Linked DNA regions of Arabidopsis thaliana. The main gene of each other region encodes a partner of the protein of the gene in region 2 in a complex. Each region holds a gene or a part of one and is shown on either strand. Other genes may lie near its edges.

Region 1 (7,680 bases), on a different chromosome or scaffold from region 2:
TTTAAATAAAATTTGGTCCCAGCTGGTCAAAAAGTTTTTGGGGTGGATGCCACATTATTTGATTCACCCAAGTGTATGTGTACATTCTGCTCAGTATTTAACAAAGTAGTACCTATATAGCTCTCTTGATATTTTCCAACCTCTTGCATTTTTGTGTATTCTTAAAGGGCGATTGCGGTCGGTGTTGTTTCCTACATGGATATCGATCGGTACTGTTTCACACGTGATGTGCTGTTTTGTTATGATTTGGAACTCCCTCAAGATTTTGTTCCCACAAATCAAGGTTAGGCAATAACTAGTAAAGCAATCAGTAATCTTGCTCAGATAGACAGGTAGATATACTTTGTCATAGCATAGTAATCTTAATTACATTGCAGATGGAGAAGTTGACAGCTTCAGGTTGATTCCAGTCGCTCAAGTTGCTAATGTGGTTCGGAAGACTAGTTTTTTTAAGGACAGTTGTTCCCTGGTCATTATTGACTTCTTGTTTCGGCACGGGTACTCACTCTTTTCTCCCAAAATTTCTACCTCAGAAGAAACATGTTACTTACCATTATATATTGCGGGACTTTTATGCTCTCGCCGCGGATAGTAACATCCTTATGAGCAATCTCCAATTCCCTTTGGCAATACATTCTGTTCCATTTTGTCTATGCAGGTTAATCAGACCAGAGTCACCGGGTTACTTGGATCTATACCGACGCCTGAGGAATGGAGATTGCTCATAAGGACGTTACTTTCTATCTAATGTTTTAAAGAAAAAGCTCACTCTCTAATAAATTAATATTAGATACTCTGACTATGTAATAAGACTCATGCATGTATATAATATTCAGAGTCTTCATGTGCCTTCATGAACATATATATACCAATCAAGGAAGTTATAAAACTTCATTTATACAAATGAGCAAAACAAGTTCACAATTTAATTGTTCTCTTCAAACAGAGTTATTGATTTTTAGCATCAGAAAGCTAATCCAATTGTGTGAAGCAAACACTAATTATTTTCATCGTTATCCATTCGAATTCTTGTAACGATATGATGAAAGTACACTAAGATTGACATTTCAACCTCAACAACTTTCTACTTGCTTAGAAGTCTTCATGACCCCTAACAGCCTTTTCCAATAGGATGCCAAAAGTTAGTATTAAAAAATCCCCCGGACATAAAGGAACACCATTGCTTGAGATCCTCCAAGTTTAGAAACCTCCTAAATCTGCTCCTATGAAATCGTGATTTCAAACAATTTGTACTATAAAGGAAAAAGTGGAATTTTACAAGAGAGATCGTTCTCCTCCTCGTCATGAACACCTTCATCAATGTTTAAGAACATCTTTCTTCTAAACCAAGCAATATCTATTTATGGATAAAAGAAGGGAGGCATGCTCTCTAATTTTTTTATAAAATCTTGTTTCTTTTCTTTTATCCAACTATTACTAAATCATCGATCTTTATGATGTCTGAGTTACAATCGAGACATGTTGAGCTTTCATCGGTTAATGCGCGTTTTATAGAATGGGGAAAATTAACCGATGCAATCTCAACATCGATCTCATTGTTCTTTTTTTTTTTTCCGGAAATATTTGGTTCCCTAAGCAAATTATATGTTTATCTAACGAGTTTTATTCTTGGATACAGAATGCTGCATGGACTCCAGTTCCACAGTTCGGAGGGTGGGACCAAAAAGGACCAAATGATGCTACAAACTACTCGGTTGTCTTTTCTAAAGCTCGCGCAAACAGGAAGCAGAACAAAGCTGGTGTAAGACATTCTAGTTTGGGAAGCGAACAAGAACTCATGGTAAGTGTTCGTCGCAACCACCAACAACTTCACCATCGCCATGAAACTCAAGACGATGACCCTGTCATGGTAATTAAATTATCTCTCTCTACTTACTCTTCCATGGATTCTTTGGTTCATATTCACCTTGTGATGATCCTTTTCCCCTTAGTCAACGCGCATGGATCATCACAAGGTGGTATAACAATTCAGGAATTGATTTTCTCTTTGCGTCTTTTGTTTGTTTTGTGTTTTTGCATGCGCCTAAAAAGAATATTTCATTCCATTTCTTTCTTAACTCAGAGACATAATTGAACCATGAATGTTATTCAACTTAATTATGAGTTAATACATGCATCATAGTATCAGGTCTCATTTATGAATATGTAATGATAGTGTATCTTTAAATTTGATGTTATAGTGTATTGGCTTGCAGTTTGTTTCCATGGTTTTGAAATGATGTGTTTTGTTCGAACAATGAATTTATAGTTCGTTTCCATTTTCCCATTTTCTACTTTCTTTTTATTTGTTAGGAAAACTTTGTTTTTTTTTTTGCATTTTTTCCATAACATTTCAATAAGCAACCATATTTTAACATTATATTCCCACCTAAGCTAAATTTCATTACTTCTATTGTTAGATAAAAATATAATTAAACCAACTAAAAGTCTGAATCATATTATAATCTTTGCATTATGTTTTAACTATATGTTGGGAGTTACATAAATTTGTTTTGCTTGGAGCCTCCAAACTTTGAAGAGGCAAACATGAACGAAATGTACACTGCTTTTCTAGAGCGAATATGAAAACTCCATCTCTAGTTTGTATAACAGTCGAAATCACCTTGTTATACGAAGCATTATGCAATATGTGAAATGTATTAAGAGGAAGCATGTTGTCACCGTCATAAGTCTCTCTAACATTACTAATTTAATTACCATGCAGAAGAAGAAGAGGATCTTGACCTACATTAATTGTTGTATAAGGCCAAACTAGGGCTTTGTTCTTCTACAAAGTCGGAATCTTTCTCTCTTCAGCGATATAGCAAATATGTCTCAAGTGTGTAAAGACAGTAGTGTAACGTTTCTGTAATCTTCTTTATCACACACAAAAAAAAAAAACGTTCTGTTCTATGTGCATCATCTATTAAGATACCCCTGGTTGTGTTGTGTTGTGATACATTTTGACTTCTTCCTACATCATACGAGAACAAAATAAAACATGACTTAACCAAACCGTCAGATGCAGAATCCATTTAACTAATCTTCGATAAATTGAGAATTGTCGGATGATCATAGTTTTAGAAACAAGAGTTAAGAAATCATGCATTGATTGCTGGTACGATTTGGCCATTTGGGTGATTTTAGCTTTGGTTAATCATTCTCCAACTTCAATATAAAGGATCCGAACAATAGCAATGACTAAACGAATCACTTTTTGGCCTTAGCAAATTGGTCTTAATTATTTGGCCACAAATACACATACATATGACCATATGAAAAACAGTGGCTATCTTGCAACTGAGTGCCACCACCTAATCGTGGCCATATCCACTAACAAGTTGACCACCGTCTTAATCGGTGGCTATTGACGATTGCAACAAAAATTATTTGACGGCTATATTAGCATTTTTTTTTTTTTTTAACTATGTGATTAAAAATGCAAATTATAAGAAAATTGAAATTTTTATTAAAATAAAAATACAAATGTAAAAAAAGTCGTTGTGAAATCTGTAAAGTTGATCATACGCACTATGAAGCGCGTGAACCCCACGCGGTAACCCGTATAAATAACAAAATTTTGGACGAAAAAAAAACAGAAGAAGAAGAAAAAGAAATCGCGATTTTATAACGCCATTGTTTGAGGAAACTCCTAATCCATTCTCAAACCCTAGTTACTTCCTTCTCGAACGTTCCTCGATATTCCCGCGGGAAATTCACGACCAAGAGCAATCCGTTTTCCAGATTAGGGTTTATATCTCTGGGTTGCGATGAGATCTGCCTCGTGAAGTCATGTATGGCGGTGATTGATCTTTGCTTCAGCTTTGTTTTCGCTTTTCGTCAAATCTTGAGCTTATTGAGCTTTGGCTTGTTTGGTTTTCAAATTCCAATAATTGCAGTTTAATCAACAACAACAAAAAAATATGGAATCAGAGAGCGTTAAGTTTGGAGGTAAATTTGGTTTCCAAGCTTTGATTTTTGTCAAGTTTTATTATTTTGGGATTTGAGGGTCAATGAGCTTCTGGGTTTCTAAGTGCAGGTCCTAGAGAATTGGGTGGTGCACTAGATCTTATAACACAATACAAGTTGTTGCCACACCATGAATTCTTTTGCAAGAGATCACTTCCAGAGTCACTGTCAGATGCTCATTATCTTCATAATTTGGTTGGAGACACAGAGATTAGAAAAGGAGAAGGAATGCAATTAGATCAGCTTATTCCTAATGCATCACTTAGTAGCCGAGATACGAATGCTCGCATCCAACCTTTTGTTCTTGATGAACTTAAGGAGGCTTTTGAGCTTAATGATACAGCTCCTGTTGAATTGCCTCCAGTAAGAATATTGCTCTCTCTGTTTAGATTTTAACTTCCTGTAACATCTAGATCTTTTACTAACCATGATAAGTTGAATTACTTCCAAGTATCTTGTGATGATAGTTGAGCTAGGTTTGAGAATATGAGATCTCCTGTTCTTATTTCAGGCAGAGAAGGGAGCTCCTACCACTGTATCAAAATCAAAAAGTGAGTCAAAAGATAAGGATAGGAAACATAGAAAACATAAAGACAAGAAGGAGAAAGATAGGGAACATAAGAAGCACAAGCACAAGCATAAAGATAGGATCAAAGATAAGGATAAAGACAAGGATCGAGACAAAAAGAAGGAAAAAAGTGGACACCATGATAAGGTTATAAAACTGTCTGCTCTTGTTGGTACCTAGGCCGTCTATATATGTATATTTTGGATTCTTAAATTCGATAGAATTGACGTGGTATACGCTATCACTTTACTTTCAGAAAAGGAAGAACAATGGGACTGAAGATGCTGATGACGTTCAGAGGCACAAAAAGAGTAAGGTAATATACTAATGGCAATGGAGGCATCTCCTTCTTTTTAGTGAAGCTGAATTTAGAAGTTTCTGGTTACTCGCACATTGGTGTTGCTCTGCAAATTTTATTTTTGTCGGCCCTAAAATTAACTTTTTTGCAGCATAAGAGCTCAAAGCTTGATGAGATGGGAGCGATGTAGGTTGGAGGCTGAAGCCGTGCACACTTTCATTTTTGTATTGCACACCCAAGGTGTCATGGAGAGGCTTAGAAGCAGCTAACTTTGTTAGGTAACTCGGTCACTAGAGTCATCTTCTCATCTTTAGATAACGCACGTTTCTCATATGGGGCTGCGTCTGTCATAACCAACGGTACTGTACATGATGAATATGATTGAGTCAACAAAGCTATGGTTGTTTTAAACATGAAGAAATAATTATTGTCTAAGGCTTATAAGAAGATAACCTGGAACTCTAGCGACCGAGAGTGCACTAACTTTATTTTGGAGTCTCAAATAATTAGAAATGTTTCTATATGGTGTAGATTTGTCTCAACATAACATAAAATGATTTGGATTTGGTTTTGCAGGTTTAATCTCTAAATAAAAATTGCATTGTGGGAGAAGTTAGGAGGGGTTAAGCAACGAAAAGTTCGCCAAGAAGAATCACAACTTGTACATTTTGTTACACTTTAAACAAGCTATGAAGTTTATCTATTCTCGTGACTATTTAAACAGAAAGGTTTCATACATTCGAAATCATTTACTCTGAAATTTATCGAATCTGAAGGCATGTGACTTTTTGGGTGTATTCGTCTCTATGGAAATACCAAAAACAAAATTTAGATCTTTCAGGAAAGTGTTTTATCTCGAACAAAAGAGTAAATAATGAGAAGAACAAAAAAAGACATATGTAATATAACCAACGGAACAGAGAGAAGGGTCAGTGGCTGACAAAGTGTTTCAAGACTTCATGTATATGTAATGAATAGCAAAAGATCAAACTCTATCAGTAAAAGATACTAACGGAAAATCTCAAACTCTTAATCAACAAAACCCTTAGTGGGAAACTTTCCAATCCTTCACACTCTTCTCTCCTACCAAACGAATGACTAAGTAATGCTGCTTTTCATTTTAAAAAAGCGTTCCAAGATGTGACCTCATTTGCTTATCCTTCCTTTTCATTTTCTAGCAAAGGTCTCTCCTTTGTGCTCACTCCCGGCACAAACAACATACCCTGCTTCCACCTATAAAACCAATTGATGTTTTGATTATGGAATCTGTAAAAGCATTGATACGTAGGGGACACTGTATTATGAAAACTGAAGGGGGTAACGTACTTGGCAGTCTCTTAGAGTAACACGCTCTTGAAGCTGTGCGTTGCTGCAAATGACTGAGCCTTGTATTGAACATCCGTCTCCAATTGTGGCATGGTCCATCACAACTGAATTAACAATCTGCACCCACATATACAAGCAGTTGAGTGTCTTTTCGAGATGTACACCACCTTTCTTTGGCTGGCTTGAGTAAAAAGCTAATTATTACCTTCACATTGGAGCCTATCCGGCAATGTCTCCCAATTACAGATCTTTTGACACTGCATTTATCACCGACTTGAGAGCCTTCTCCAAGCATACAATGAGGTCCAACCTGCAACCCAAAAATTGTTATTCACGATCACAACTCACAGAACAAATGCTCAATATCTACACATGTAGAGTTACGTACTGTGGTTTTCGATCCAAGCTCAGCTGATGGGTGGACAATGTTGTGATGAGCAGAAAAGGAGTATCCAGATAGGTGGTTTGATTCACCAATAACCTGCACAAGTTTGAACAATTGCGGAGCTTCATAAGTCAACTGAGAAAAAAATACTGGAGAAGGAATCCCATGTGTAAACAACTTACATCTCTGTTTACGTCCATGAAGGCTTGAATGCTATTCAAGCGGACGAAATACTTACTTTCATCCGCTATATAAACACAGCATTTATGGGTTTTCCGGGTACCCAGACCTGATTCATAGACTTGATGAAAGCTTGGCATGGATGCGTTGGAGAGAATTTGAGACAAGACCACCTCGTTGTTCTGCATATTATTTTTTCCATTTCCATTCCCATTTTCTTCTACATTACTTTGGTCAGAGAAGACATCTGATCTCTGATACTCAAGGGGAAACCGCACAAATAAGGAATCAAAATGGTAATAAAAAAAAAATGGTCATTTGCAAGGACCGTATCCGACTAACCAGCTGTGTACGAACAAGATACGGTAGTACATCCTGTTTTAGGCTCCTAAAAGCAGGTTTTTGATCCAAAACTTCCTGCAGAACTGCTCTGTAAGACAAAAGAACATATTGAGTATCGACAGATAAAACTACTTTGATAGCAGGAAAGCAGATCTGACCAACCTCTTGAAGGCATATATATGAGAATCCATCAGATCTGATCGAATTTCCATCTAAATCGAAAATGACAAGATAATTAGAAACTGTACTAAGAATTTGTAATATATGAATCATAAAAAGATGCATTTGTAGGTAATTTCAAAAACTTAATAAGAACATTACCTTGCCAGCCGCACAGAGAATGCTCTTTTTTACTCGGGTATCTTTCTTAATCTCAGTACCTAACACAATTTCAGGAGGTAAACCAACAACAAGTTCAAGCATTTTGTTACCTCTAAGAAACATAAAGAAAAATTAAAAGTAGGACCTTTGGCTATGTATAACAAGAACTGTTTCAAGGAATCAAGCCCTATGATATCATCGCAAGCAGGTTTTTTGGTTTTATCTTTCCCACCAGAACCTCCTGATTCTGATGGCCCACTGACAGGTTGAGCACAAAGCATAACAGTCACT
Region 2 (6,545 bases):
TCTATCTCTGCCAAGGATGGATATCCGAGATTCGTTGCAGCCCATTTTAAGAACAACCTCAAATCCATTTTACTGATACTTCCTATAGGATTTATGTCTGCTGAGCTGCAATCATACTGTTTCAACCAAGAGAATGAACAATATTTTTTAACCATCTATGAAATTTGAGATGTAGCAGCCAAAAAGTGATTACTCCATTACCTTTGTCAGGTAACCACGAAGTCCTTCATCAACGTTGGAGCTGCCTAGAACAAGGTAAAAGCCTGGTTTGCTATGAACCCAAGGCAAGAGAGACGCTAACATAAATGCTAACACCATTCTCATCCGGGCTTGAATGTTCTGCAACCCAAGGTTCTCAGCATTTGATCCTCCATCAACCTAATAAACAAAACCAACAACCATTTTCACAATTTTAGTTCTTCTTCTCTTCTCCAGATGATCATATTTCATTTTTTCTAACAGTTTGCCTAGGTAATGTATATTCAGACTTTACCTTATACCTTGGTCGCTTGCCTGTAACTGTTTGAAATAATGATAAAACTGCAGAGACAACACCATCTATGCAAACATCAAGATGCCAAGCACCAATCTCGTCTGCCAGCTGCTTTGAACGCCTTTTTGTCTCCTCAGAACTGCAAATTTAAGATTTCAATATGGGGAAAAAAGTTTCATCTCTGCTGTAAATCCACACAGTGACGAAAAATCATATTCTCTTTGCTCTTATTAACTAATTCACCTGTTTTCAGAACCCATAAAGACAGTGTAAAATATTCGTTTGGCAAACTCTTTGCTATCAGTAGGAAACTGCCCATTAGCATAATTCCCAATTCGGTTCGCATCAGCTTTTACTTGCTCATCTCCCTTTGCAATCTCTAAACAAGAAAGAAAATATACTCTGAGAGAACTCAATATCATGAAATTTCAACAAGACAAAACACAGTTCAACATACATAGAAAAAAGCGCCAGTGTACCTTTAACAACAAGTTGGCACATGCAGCCAACAATAGCTGCCACGGAGGAGCTGTCTGCTCCGCCAGAAAGAGGAAGCAAAAATCCTGAAGCGCCACTTCTTCTCAAATAGTCCCACATCCAGCAAGCGGGACCAAAGGCTATTTCTTCTTGTGGAGAGTGGTAAATGATCTACATTACTAATGTATATTAGAGTGGAAAATTTTAGATGTTAACTTAACATCAAATACTCAAGGATGGAGAACCTTCTTCGGACTGCTTAGTGTCATTTTCAGGTTGAAGGACTGTGTAAGTCTACAGGGCACAGCTACTGAAGATACTTTAACCTTGCAGCTTGCTTGTTCCTGAAAGCTACTTATAGATCCACGAAGGCTAGCAACCTTTCTCAAGACAAATAAGCAAGATGATCCTAAGAACTTTTCATTTATATATCACAAAACAGAAGAAAGTAAAGCCAAAGGGTAACTGTGGGATACCGCATCAAGATCCACTTGTGAAATGATGACCTCAACGTCTCTCAACGAGAATTGTGAGCCTTGAGCAACAACATTCCCGTTTACAACAATACATGCACATCCATCTGCACTTGGTTACAAATGAACAAATCTCACTCAAAAAAGTAGATATGATTTACTCAAAAATGATACTTTCAATAATTTTAAGGGTTGTCAAACATACCGTAGTATAAGCGGCTACCATCGCATCCTTGTTGATTACTGTACATATACACCCCACCACGAGCATGAGTAGCCCCCATAAAAGCATTCAGACGAATATCTAGTTTCCTAAGTTGGTGATGACTCCCACTTGCATTCATAAATACTTCAACACCATTCAATGCGAGCTCGGCATGAGGAGGAAGTGGACTAAACAGTTCCTCACAGACTTCAGCTGCAACAGCCCTGATAAGGAAATATAACTGATACAGTTAAGCAGACAAAATCATTGACAGTGTTGAAATGGAAGCATTTATCCAAACTCACGTGTCGATAAACTGGATGTAACCATAACCAAAAGGGACTGATTTCTGCTCCAAAGCCTCTGAAATTTCAATGGGGAGCTGAAATTCCTCTAGCTCTTCTCTCTGCTTCCAAGCTGTGAACCACCGTAGCTCCCTATAGTTTCCATCGTTTGCGAGCCACATTTTCGGTCGAATCATGATGATTCTTCTGTTCATACAGAGAACCTGGCAGTTATAACGCTCTGCTCCTTTAATCACAGGCATTCCTATGCTGCACAAAATATCATCCGTCCAATCACCAAGCAGCAATTCCTTCAAACACTCCCACCTGAAAGAAGATATTCACATGAACATAAGAAGAAACGGTTAAACATGATTCCGATAACTAAATTCAGAAGAAAAAGAAATTAATTCCATCATCTAAAGTGATAGTACCAAGTCATTCATGCCATTCATCATCGAAATAGAAAACTAAAAATAGAAGCTTACGCATGAGTGACAGTGTCGAGTTCCAAGAAGTGATCCTCGCAACCATAGCCAGTGACCTCGAGCTCGGGTCCAAGCCTGATAACAGCACCAGCAGCCTTTGCCTCAGCGATCGAAGCCTTGATGTTCTTCATGTTGCTCTCGAAATCCATGGCCCATTGGTTCAAGTTACACGTAGCAACCTTCAACAGCCTCATCTTCGTCGCCTAAAGAGAAAGACAAGTAAATTTACTGTACATCAAGTAGTGTAAAAAATCTGACTTATCTAAGGCACAAACTTGTTCATGAGAACAGAAGCTGGTTAAATTAGTTAAAGGAACAAACTTTGTATTACTTTGCTAATACTAACAATTCAAATTCAATTTTAACAGCCATAATACACAATATCTGTAACGAAGAACTCGTCAACGCAACACTATTCGATGTGAATCAATTGCCAAAAGAAGAGAAGGAAGAATTGGAGCTTACGTGAATGTGCAAAGAAACCAAGTATCAAAGTCGTGAAATTCGGAGATCGTGAAAATTGAAAACTATGGGAGTTTGTATTTCTTTCAGATGTGAAATTCACAGACTCCAAGTGATTGTGCAGTGCTCGTGCAGAACAGATTGTGACCGACCAAGAAGAACATTCGGTTTGAGAGGAAGAAGAAGAAGAAGAGATTGATACTGAAACGACGGCGTTTTACGATTGTAAATTACAAACAAAACCTTAACTGAGAACAACTTCGTTTTATCATGACACGACATCATTTTTTTTTTTTTTTGGTCAAAACACGACATCGTTTAAGTTCCCACTTTTGTCTCTTCTTCGTTCTTTTAAGTTTTAATAGACGACGACGGCGACGAGAAGGAGAATTAGCGAGATCGGAAGGAGAAAAAATGGATCAATTCTCAGGAGGAGGAGGTAATTGGTCGATGATCCCAAACGTGCAGGCGCAAGGTAACTTCGGTACACCGACGAATCATGACCAGCAACTATTCCTCCAGCAACAACAATTACAACAACAACAACAACAACAACAACAACAACAGTTTCATCTTCAACAACAACAACAGACGCAGCAGCAACAACAACAATTCCAGCCACAACAACAACAAGAGATGCAACAATATCAGCAATTCCAACAACAGCAACACTTCATCCAACAACAGCAATTCCAACAACAACAACGGTTGTTACAATCTCCTCCTCTTCAGCCACAGTCGTTACAATCACCTCCGCCGCAACAGACGATGGTTCACACGCCTCAATCTATGATGCATACACCGCAGCAACAACAACAGTTGGTTCAAACTCCGGTGCAGACTCCTCAACAGCATCAGTCTTTAGCTTCTCATTTCCATCTCTATCCGGTAAGAGAAACAAAGAAAATTGATGAAATTGGAATCGTTGGGGGTTCTAATTTCGTGTTAATGACGCAGATGGTGGAGAAATTAGCTGATGTGATCGAAAATGGAACACGAGATCAGAATTCTGACGCCCTGGTTTGTTAAAAATCAAGTCTTTTAAAGTGGTTTTGAGATTTCTAGGGTTTCTTATTGGATGATGTTGAAATTGTGGGATTTGCAGGTGAATGAATTGAATAGCCATTTCGACAAGTGTCAACAGTTGCTGAATTCGATTTCAGGATCACTAGGATCTAAAACTATGGTAACATTTTGGATCTCTGTATTGGTTCTGTTTAATCTTTTGTTTCTTATGGATCTCTCTCTCTCTCTGTGTTTTATAGACTGTTGATGGCCAAAAGAGAAATGTTGAAGAAAGTGAGCAATTGCTTCAACAGAGAAGGTTAGCTAGATTGTTAGTATCATGTTTTATCTGATCAGATTGTGATCGTGCTCTTACTCTTTTGTTGTTAAATGTCTTCTGGTCAGGGATTTGATTGTGGAGTATAGGAAATCTATTGAAGAGATTGTGACAATGGAGCATTAGTTTCTCATATTTTGATTCAGCAACTGTTTAGCTACTTAAGACCAATAATTGTTATCAATAAACCAATCTTGATTCACATAATAAAGAGAATGTGGTTTTCTTCAAGAAAATTCATTCTTCGGATTACAAATAGATCACAATGCATAATGTGTTTTGTCTGCATCAAACCAAACCAAAATCTTTGTATGTGGGACATGCAACAGAAAGCTCAACCCAAAAACGATATAAGCCCAGGTAGTTGTTGAACATAGTGAGTGGTTTTGTGATTTAGATTCAGAACAGAGTAGAAAAAGCATTGTAGCGACCATGGAAAATTCAACCATTATTCCACAATGATCCTCCAAATATAAAACAAAACACCATTGAAGCCACATCTATTAGTCTTTTAAAAAGAAATAAAAACACCGACTTCTAATCTATCCCTACTCACTATTTTGAAATCATGATAATAGTCTTAAACAGGTAAAAAAAAAACCCAATAAAACACTCACGTAAGCTTCATATTCTCTAGATAGTTTGGAACAGCATGAAACAAAACCCGTTTAGAACCTTGAGATTCTGGAACTTCAACTCTTACTCTTACCACAATGTTCTCCTCGAGATTGTAGTAATAAAGGTAAAAAGGAACTTGTGGATCATAGTGATTTGGGCAGAATACAGCTTCACCTTTACTAGTAACTAAAAAGTTTACATCAATTCCATTGAACTCCGGCCATTGAAGGGGCTTTACGTAGATATGCTTTGACCATTTACGTTCCTGGCCATGCTCTAAAACCCACAACACCAAATCGTTATCATTACTATTTATTGAACCTAATTTACCCTTGTAGTTTATCAGAGAGGGAGGTTTCCAAGTAATAAAACCAAATTTCTCAGACCTAACGTCAAAGCAAACGATCATAGGTCCCAACATAGGTTTCATAGAGGTTGCTGCATAATACAAAACACCTTTGATGCATATCCCCTTATGATAACGGTGGGTATAATAATGTCTGCGACATTGGATCTTCCTCCAAAATAGATTTCTCCTTCCAGTCTCGAATGTGAGAACTTGATGCTGACTATCAAACTCCTCCCCTGTTCCATGATGCACCGAGGTTACACACAATACCTTGAACCGTTTGTTGATTGGATCATACCCGATGGCGAAATAGTTTATTGTCGCATGTGCTTCCAATATGGGTAAGGTTACGTACTGCCCTGTGATGGGATTATAAATCACAAAAACTGTGTCATTTTTTATCTTACGGTGATAACAGACCAGTCCGTGGACAGAGCTAAGGATTTGAGAGAAATCTCTAGGGATATCCGTATGATGATGAGCAGTGGCTACAAGAGATGAATTCTCATCTGGATTTTCAGGCTGTGTTGAAGTGTAGGAAAATAACATTCCTCCACCTAAGAAGGTGAAGATGAACCTCGGTGGATCGGGATACTTGATCGGGAACAACTGGTTATAATTTGGTTGTCGAATTATCGACGACAAGAGCTTACATACACAACGACACTTGGCCATAGACTTTGCAGACAATTTCGATAAGATTTTGATGACCAAATCTGCAGGGATTCGATCAAAGTATTCTCCTCCAGAGTTTGAACATCGTTTATTGGATTCAAATACGGTTAGGGTTAGGTTTTCTTTTGTATCCTGCTGCTTACGTTTTGTCATTGCCCTAGATTTTGACTCTGCTTGGTGATTTCAAAATCTTCATCTTATGATGACATATGTACTATGCCTCAATCAAGCACGCTCCATCATTTGGGCTTTTACTAAGGTCCACTAGATACTTTTAAGGCTTTGTGTTTTGTCCGCTGGAATTTAAGAGAATCGATTTTGTACCTCTTCCTTTCGTAATTTCCTCCTCTTGTCTCATCAGAAGCTGTCCTTTTTCATGTTTATACCACCTAGAAAGAAGATTACAATAGACCACGATGTTTTGTCTGCATCAAACAAAGTCAAAATCTTTGTCTACAAGACCACTTTTTCTATACTCTTGGCACATGCAACATAACCAGCGGTTCTCGAGATACATATATGTATATGAATAATATATACATTTGATTCCTTCTGATCAACACCAAAAAGAGAGGTGAATGGAATTTAAAGATTGATATCGCATCTCAGCTGGCTTTCTCTAGTCATCTTTCGTGTTGTTGGAAACGGTTTATCTTGAAGATATAGCTTGATGAAGACG
Region 3 (8,137 bases), on a different chromosome or scaffold from region 2:
ACAAGAGCAGGATCAACAGCCATTGCCTCCGGATTGATGCCTGTTATTGTCTCCCCATCTACTCGCCATGGCTCAAAAACCAACGCCGAAGGATTCACAAGAGCTGATTCAATACCTTTTCCAAGCATGTCCAACAACAACCTTGCTTGCATATCTAAAACCATGGCACGAACCTCTTGAGCATTGGTTCCTTCAAGTAACCGACATTTGATCCTATCTAGGTTCTGTAAACCATAAAAATACAAGTTCTTTACCAAAAAGCGCAACCAACCAAAAAGGAAAAAAGCAAAAAAAACACGAAGAATCTCAAGGGGGCAATAGACTGCCAAGATTTTGTTCAGCGTCTTAGAATCAGTCAATCAGATGCATTGTATATTGGCTACTCAAATAATCTAAAGTCAGATGAAGTTTGTTCCTTTTTTCTTTCTTTTTTTAAATTAGAGAAAGCTACACTATCTTATAGTCCGATAAAAGAACAACACAAAATAGGTTCTGCATGCTCATGGAATAGAGAAGCTTTACATTATAAAACCAGAAAAAAAAATATATATATATATATAAATATTTTGCAAAGACATAATAAACGGTACCGCAACGCAAACAGTTCAGACATTTAAAAAGGAAAAAGATAATGAGTTGGATTCGGGTTGAGTAAAAACATACAGGGCCATATTGTTGTCTGTGCTGTGTTGAAGGAAGGGAGTGAAAATCAGCATCCATGACAGCAATCACGCTGTTCAATGAAACTGTAATCATAAAAAGAAATACATCATCCAATGCTTTAAGCAGTATATTATTCAAACAATACAATATAATATTTGAACCACTATCATTCAAAGTTTCTATCATTCAAACCTTAGTATAAAAGCAAAATAGAAAAACAGAGAAAAGGTTCTTTGAATGACACTCAGCCTTTAAAAACTAGAACTTATTCCCAAACTAAAATACAAACTGTCATATTTCTAAGCAAAACTAATTCCAGTGGTTGTTCCACAACTAAAGACCCAAAAAAATCCAACTGCAGATATTAAATAACACTTAAATCAAGAAACTTAGCACTAAAGTATACCTATCCCATCCTCTGCAGCACTCTGTGTGCAGCCAACTGCATCCCACCAATCAACTCCGACCAAAAGACTCCACCAGAATCTGTTAAGAAAGAATGCAGATTCATATCTCAAGTCACAATATAAGTTCCTTTGCAAGCAGACAAGCTAGAAAATATATACCAGAGATTACATACCTCTCAGCGATCGCCCGCTCCCATGTTGATTGATCAACCTTTGATTGGTTACGCGGAAGAGCAGGAGGAAGAACACGGATGATTTTCAACATTGCGCAGTCCTTAGCAGCATCATGCCATACAGAAGCCGAACAACAGCTTGTTGGTGAAAATGCGGGTGCAGCAATTGCAGATCCAACATTTATTTGATAGTTTTCAACAGGTGAAAAAGTTGGACCAGAAAAGATATGAACTCCACCACGAAGAAAAGCAATCGCAATTTCACCACCATGAGCAGAATAGACAATCCGTGCAAGTGTCCGAATATCACTTGGCAAATCAAAAGGATCAAATACAACCTTGTTAGCCTTCTCATCACCAGAATCAGGCTCCTTTGGTGCATCCACACTTGGTCCTGCTGCAGCTACTTGATGATTCTTAAAATCTTTAGTAGGTGGTATGCTCATATCCACTCTGGATACCCAGACAGTTTGCGTGGGGACCTGTCCTCCAAAATTTGAAGTTGGGTTTCCAAATATCTGATGCAGTACAACAGGTTGAACACTTGATTCCCAGCGCTGTACTCTCCAGCCTGTGATTGAAGGACCTTCATCTGGATCATACGGAGACATGTACTGCCCTGCAGACACAAACAATTAGCATTTATTTTAAACAATAGATTGAAGCTGTTGCGCTTCATCACTCAAACAAAATTAGCATTTTCTCATCTGGCAGCTCTTCAATATATGAGCATTTCTAAATGATTGACCAAAAACTAAACGTAAACCTGAAAATGTTTATTCAATCATGGAAACAGTATGAGGTTCCGAGAAGGATGAGAACAGTACCTTCAACTATAACAACTGCTATCACTGAACCACCACGAGTTGGATCAAAAGCAACAGCGGTAACACCAGATCCCCATGTTGTGGTTGCTGCAGACTGAGCTGCAGCCTCTGGACTTACATAAGCAGAAAAATTGGAAACCGGTGAGCAACTTAGCGATATAGCATCACTGGAATCTTGATCTGAGGGCTTCTTCCCTTGCTTTATCTCGGATATTAAGTATTCTTGCCAGCTAAACAAGTACGCAGCTAAAGGAGCAAAACCTGTCCAAGAAGAAGAACTAAGGGATGGTGGCACACGACTGCCTGTAGAGATTTTTGGAGTCGCCTGGAGTCCATTTCCAGGGCCAGGGGTCACCTCCCATACTACAATTGTTGAAGGGTTTACAATTGGAACTCCTGCTACATGCATGGCACCACTGTCTGTTATAATAGCATCAGCAGCCATAATTCCACTTGGCCCTGCACCTAAAAGACCTTTCTTTGTACTAAACCACTTTGGTGCAGTGCTTCCCTGGTTAGAAGGCCACTGGGACCAATGAATTTGAACAGAGCCGGATGAGAAAACAGAGCATACACAGAGAAAGTTGGGCCACCGAGCTGCAACAAATGGTAGAGAATCAGAACCGTCACATAAAGTGGAGGAAAATGCACTAACGTCAGAACATGTTGTATTGATCTTGTCACATATATTTGGATGTCAAAGGAACTGACATAATTAAAATTAAGTGCATAATTCTGAATATATCATCAAAAAATGAGTCACAAGAGGCACGCAGAAGAAAACCTGAGCTTTCAGAGCTCTGCGAGAGAAATTTCTCCTCGAAAGTTGACTTTGCATTTGTACCAGAACTTGGCTTGGAGGACAACCACCTATACTGATTATCAATAAAAAGAAAACATAGAGGATAAATTTCCTAGGATAAAACTAGAGCAGCAAACTAGGTGGCCAGAAACAACATGATATTAAGTCCTTCAGAACATGTTCTTTGCAATGGCATTATTATCTATCTGTTACTCATTTCCTTATGTGTTCATGCCGATCATTAAAGAAATGCATCTAAGAAACGCAAATTGGAAGATCTTTTAGGAGTCTAGTAATTTTGCAAACAGAGAGTTGGGATTTCCAGGACGTTGTGTTTTCTCCATCTCATTTCCTCCAAAACGTAGAGACATTTCCAGTTCAATTACTCACGATTTAGTAATCCCAGTGCCCACTCTCACATGCAAGCCCTCCATTACTAATTTAACGAACTCATTAAGGGACAAATATGCTGTGCATTTGATAGAATGGCAAATAAGCAAAACATAAGATTACATACTGGGGAAGCCCCTGTCAGCCACTTTGTAACAACAGCAATGTCCTGACGCCATTCATGCTCACACTGCCAGGAGGTAGCGTCGTGCACTAAATTAGCCGAACCCTGCAAAACCAATCCACAAAAAAAAAATCATCTGAGGGTGTCATAAAACATCTTGACACAGAAGACAAAGAAGAAATATAAAGGTAAATCCCAGTGATCAGGAGCACAAACCTGAGTAGGCTGCGTCCAGATAGTTATACGTCCATGAAAATTAGCAATGAGTAACGCACGAGGACAAGAAGTGGGAGACCATTCGATAAATTGGACAGAATCACGAGGAGAGTCTACATATAAAAAATTGCATCATAATCGTTTATCACCCACTAGATCAACCGAGTTCATAAATAATTAACTGATATCAAAATACCTGCCACAACATTAAACACCGCACACTCAGTAGGGCGCTCAGGTATCAAGATATGTATTGGTATCCAAAAAGGTGTATTTGCCTTGGAGCTGCAAGAGATGAGAACAGAGAAAGATGAAAATTGAGAAATTCATCACTGCCCATACATTCAAGACATAGAAAAGTAACAAAAACCATACCTTGGAATCCTGGCACAGGTCTCGGAAGCACAAGCAATAGCATTCAATTTGCCACACCACGCAACAGCACTAACACAAAGAAAAGGAGAAAACTTTACAGGAATTGATGAAATTTAAAGATTTTCCGATGGGAGAGAGAGTCAAACCTGAAGTTACGGCACAATTCAGGAACACTCATCTTATGAAGCAAATTGGAATTGGGCTGCTTAAGCTTAACACAGAAAACTGTAGCCGGACTCACAGGATCAATCTCCATGTTACTACTACTACTATTATCGTCTTCTTTCTCTCCGTCTACTGATTTCTCTAACAATTTCTCCTCAACGACGACGAGAATCGGATCGGTAGACTCAATAGTCTCTTCCTGCTTCTGCTGTAATCCTTCTTCCTCTTTCTCCTCCACTATAGCTGGAGCTTCGATGATTCCTCCACCACCGCTATTATTAACCAAAGAAACTTCTTCTTCTGGGTTTTGCTGATTCATGTCAACGAAAGCAAACAAAACCCTAAATTTATAGAAAAATCGGAGAAAAGAGGGCAAGTGTGACAAAAAGTCGCGATTGAAGGCGACAGAAAGCACTGTGCGTTGAGAGAGAGAGAAAGTGTCAAAGTGAGAAACTGTTAAGTGGGGTTAACGAGACGACTTAGTGCGGGGAAAATTCCAAAATCCCCACAAAATCAAAATCGAACAAAAAATGCAATTTTGATTTTAGGGTTTGGTGGAGTCACAGTCTCGTCGCCGGGATGCAGAAAAAAAATCTCGGTGAAAGTGATGCAAAAACGCCGTCGTGTCTGGTCACTTTCTCTCTAAATTTTTTTCCCCTCTTTTTGTAATTTTTTACTTTTTCTTTTAAGAGCAAAAAATGAAGAAGTAAATTTTAAATGATAGTTTTGAATCTTTTGATTAAGGAAAATGATCATAATTTCATTTTTTCTTCTAATTTACCATCTTCAAATTCAAATTTGTAAACATGGAAAGGTACTAACTTAATTTGACATTTGGCATTTGAGGATCCTTGTTTGACATTAGTTTTTTTTTTTTTTTGCTAAATTTGTTAATATCATTACAATGAGAGTTCAGAAAATACAAGAACGTACAACCTATAGAAAAGTAACCAAGGCAAAAAAAATAAAAACAAGGCTACAATAGAATTAGAAAAGATTTAGGTGTGTTTAACGAATCCATAAAAGCATTAGCCGCTGCCAACGCTTGCGATGTCGTCGAGAAGTGATTAGGTTGCGAAGCTCACGATCCACCAATTTGAAGATGATAAGAGGTGCCACGCGAGTAGAGTTGTGCAAAATATTAGGCTTAGGCATTAGTTCATTTGCCTCCTCCCAAATCAAAAGTTAGGCTTAGGCATAAGTGTTTCCCATGGTTGTTGTATCTCCCTCAATGTAGCACGACCAAGAATGAGAATCACTTATTGCTTACACCAAATTCTTTGAGTTACATGCATAGCGTACTGAAAACTAGTTGTTTCGGCTTCTAACTAGATACAAGCAGAGCCATCCATGAGCACAAACGGGTCAAGCTCATGCTTGCGGCTTCAATTAATATAAAGGGAATTTAATGAAAAAAAACCTCAACTTTGGCCAGATCCATTTTTAAACCCTAAACTATGTTTTTAGTAAAACAAACCCTGAACTAAAACCTGTTAATAAACTTAACCCTAAACGTTGTTTAATTACTGTGGGGTTAAGTTTATTAACAGGTTTTAGTTCAGGGTTTGTTTTACTAAAAACATAGTTTAGGGTTTAAAAATGGATCTGGCCAAAGTTGAGGGTTTTTTTCATTAAATTCCCTAATATAAATAAAACTTTTGCCTCATTTTCTTATAACTTTCAGTAGAAAAGTTGGTTATTTGCTTATAAGATTACATTAGAGAGTCAAAAGTTTGAGTTCATCTTCATCTTCATTTGCCTTTTTATTTATTTTTTCATTTTCACTCATTAAACTAGAACCAAAAAAAAATTCCTTCTTTCAATCTATTAAATACTAGGGATGGATATGTCTTTGCACCATACCCTTTTAACCACCTTCTCATATCTAAGAATGCACCAAATTTCAAACTTATTCATTCCATGTTTACAACATTACTTATAAGTTTACTTGAGCTAGTTGTTCAATTTAAAAATCTCCCTATGTGAAGGTTGTTTTGCCTCATCTTCCTTCTCATTGTGTTTATTCCATTCATTAGCATCCATCATCTATCATTGCTCTGTGACAGTCCAAGATCTTTTGAGCTTTTATGTGTTGACCTTCTAGTTTCACATAATTGATCATCGATTGAAGTTTTGAACTATTTGTTGAAAAATAAATAAATGTGGTTAATCCGAACTCAAATTGAATTGTGAGGATGTGTCTCATGCATGACTTGCTCAAAATAATCAGTGAGCAAGTATTCTAAAATTTAGACTGAAAAAAAAAAAAAAAAATAAGAAAAGAACAACAAAAAAAATGAATTATGATTTGTGTTGCAAACCGGATTCTAATACCGAGCCGAGAGGGTATGACCAGATTTAATTTACCGCTTTTTGGTTTAATTCAGACGGCTATTGGTCGAACCGGAATGTTTGGTCTGGTTTCCAAAACATTGATCAGGACTCGAAAAATAAAAGATCTTATTAAAATCAAGGAAGCAATCGTAGTCTTCTGTTTATTGCTTCTCCCTCAAATATTTTCTTATTCGTTAAGGTTACAAAAATCAAAAAGACTCGAAGAAACCTGAGATCGAAACCCCAGCCATGGCGGGTCGTTACGGATCGCAAGTCATGACGATGACTGTGACCAATACTCCGTCCGCAGATCTAGCTTTTACTAACCTCGCTTACTGCTCTTCTTCCGATCTCCGTCAATTCTCCGTTCCCGGTTCCGATCTCTTCCTCGCCAACGTTGCCGATAGCTTCATTCTTTCTCTCTGATATCCTTTCTTATTTCCATTTTACGATTCATTTCTTACATTGCAATGCGAAATGCGATCCTAGGAGTTGATTGTTTATGTGATATGGCTAATTACTGCTAAATTTACCAAAATCGATCTTCGAATTTGAATCTCGGCCTTATGAATGGTTCTTATAATGATTGATTGATCTATGATCGTAGTACAAGTTAGGTTTTTCTGGTTTTCATGGATTATAGAAATCTAGGCTCCTTTGGTCGGTGACAATGTTGAACTTGTTCATTGTGTCATTTATTTCGATTTTTGTGAACTTAACTGGTGATTACTGGACATGGAAGCATCCGTGATGGAAATATTGCTCTCAATGCTATTCAAAGGCGACACGCTAGAGTTTCGACTGGTGATATGGTATCTGTTAGCAGGTGATTATACAGCTTGTTTTTATATTAATTTTCTGGCATGAATACGTTTTTGGTTTCTGAATATTGTCTTGTTCTTGCAGATTTGTTCCTCCTGAAAATTTTGATCTGGCTATGCTGACGCTGGAGTTGGAATTTGTGAAGAAAGGAACTAAAAGCGAGCAGGTTTGTTTGATGTCTATGATGTGTTTCTTGAGATATTTGTAGGCTTTGTGATTGAACTCAACTTCTCTGTACAATATTACTTTACAGGTTGATGCTGCTCTCCTTTCGACCCAGCTTAAGAGGAAATACACCAACCAGGTAGAGATATTCTTGTTCTGCTGTCTCTGTTATTGTTAGATGTTTGGTTTTCAAAGATACATGCATCTCGTGCTGTGGTTTAAGCATGCATCTGAGAGGCAAAATGAGAGTACTGTGGTTTCTAAACAGATAAGGCACGCATTGGTTTCCATTTGTTTTATATGGGAAATGGAAACTATACGAGCTAATCTGTTTTATATAGTTTCCATTTGTAGCAATGTGTACATGGATCTTGTCATTTACCTTATTTTTCTGCTGAAGCATTGGTTTTCAGTGAATGCATTTGGTGACCATTCTGCAAATCCTGTAATATTATGCTTACAGATATTTACTCATGTATTTCTTGATTATGTGGTATCACTTATATGGTTATTTGGCCTTTAGATCCTCACAAAATCGTATTAGTCTAATTTATTGAACCAATGTTACATGTTTGGTTTCTGAAGATATACATGTCTTGTGCTGTGGTTTAAGCATGCATCTGAGAGGCAAAACGAGAGAACTGTGATTTCTAAACAGATAAGGTCTAAATAAA

Evidence for each region.
Region 1: MED9 (region 2) and AT5G19480 share a complex: the UniProt entries of both Arabidopsis thaliana proteins name them as parts of the mediator complex.
Region 3: MED9 (region 2) and SFR6 share a complex: the UniProt entries of both Arabidopsis thaliana proteins name them as parts of the mediator complex.

Annotation. Positions count from the first base shown.
Region 1 is NC_003076.8:6,567,905-6,575,584, forward strand, and holds AT5G19480 (mediator of RNA polymerase II transcription subunit), read left to right. Parts: upstream 1-3,596; 5' UTR 3,597-3,923; coding exon 3,924-3,951; intron 3,952-4,039; coding exon 4,040-4,332; intron 4,333-4,480; coding exon 4,481-4,684; intron 4,685-4,793; coding exon 4,794-4,853; intron 4,854-4,986; coding exon 4,987-5,025; 3' UTR 5,026-5,719; downstream 5,720-7,680. Other genes in the region: NUDT24 (nudix hydrolase homolog 24), read left to right, coding at 168-283, 378-592; AT5G19473 (RPM1-interacting protein 4 (RIN4) family protein), read left to right, coding at 1,517-1,870, 2,726-2,776; AT5G19485 (transferases/nucleotidyltransferase), read right to left, coding at 6,003-6,068, 6,162-6,278, 6,367-6,471, 6,550-6,642, 6,729-6,980, 7,069-7,156, 7,231-7,280, 7,390-7,448 and 1 more. UniProt on the Arabidopsis thaliana protein: Component of the Mediator complex, a coactivator involved in the regulated transcription of nearly all RNA polymerase II-dependent genes.
Region 2 is NC_003070.9:20,550,926-20,557,470, reverse strand, and holds MED9 (mediator of RNA polymerase II transcription subunit-like protein), read left to right. Parts: upstream 1-3,216; 5' UTR 3,217-3,296; coding exon 3,297-3,770; intron 3,771-3,839; coding exon 3,840-3,902; intron 3,903-3,987; coding exon 3,988-4,068; coding exon of another isoform or gene 4,069-4,147; coding exon 4,148-4,206; intron 4,207-4,292; coding exon 4,293-4,350; 3' UTR 4,351-4,566; downstream 4,567-6,545. Other genes in the region: AT1G55090 (carbon-nitrogen hydrolase family protein), read right to left, coding at 1-116, 202-378, 494-632, 737-872, 973-1,141, 1,216-1,350, 1,447-1,550, 1,649-1,872 and 2 more; AT1G55070 (F-box and associated interaction domains-containing protein), read right to left, coding at 4,838-6,019. UniProt on the Arabidopsis thaliana protein: Component of the Mediator complex, a coactivator involved in the regulated transcription of nearly all RNA polymerase II-dependent genes.
Region 3 is NC_003075.7:2,494,255-2,502,391, reverse strand, and holds the start of SFR6 (sensitive to freezing 6), read right to left. Parts: upstream 4,462-8,137; coding exon 4,124-4,461; intron 4,047-4,123; coding exon 3,978-4,046; intron 3,888-3,977; coding exon 3,799-3,887; intron 3,716-3,798; coding exon 3,603-3,715; intron 3,492-3,602; coding exon 3,390-3,491; intron 2,946-3,389; coding exon 2,855-2,945; intron 2,668-2,854; coding exon 2,071-2,667; intron 1,863-2,070; coding exon 1,244-1,862; intron 1,150-1,243; coding exon 1,070-1,149; intron 747-1,069; coding exon 664-746; intron 225-663; coding exon 1-224. Other genes in the region: NSF (AAA-type ATPase family protein), read left to right, coding at 6,726-6,901, 7,207-7,302, 7,383-7,464, 7,552-7,602. UniProt on the Arabidopsis thaliana protein: Component of the Mediator complex, a coactivator involved in the regulated transcription of nearly all RNA polymerase II-dependent genes.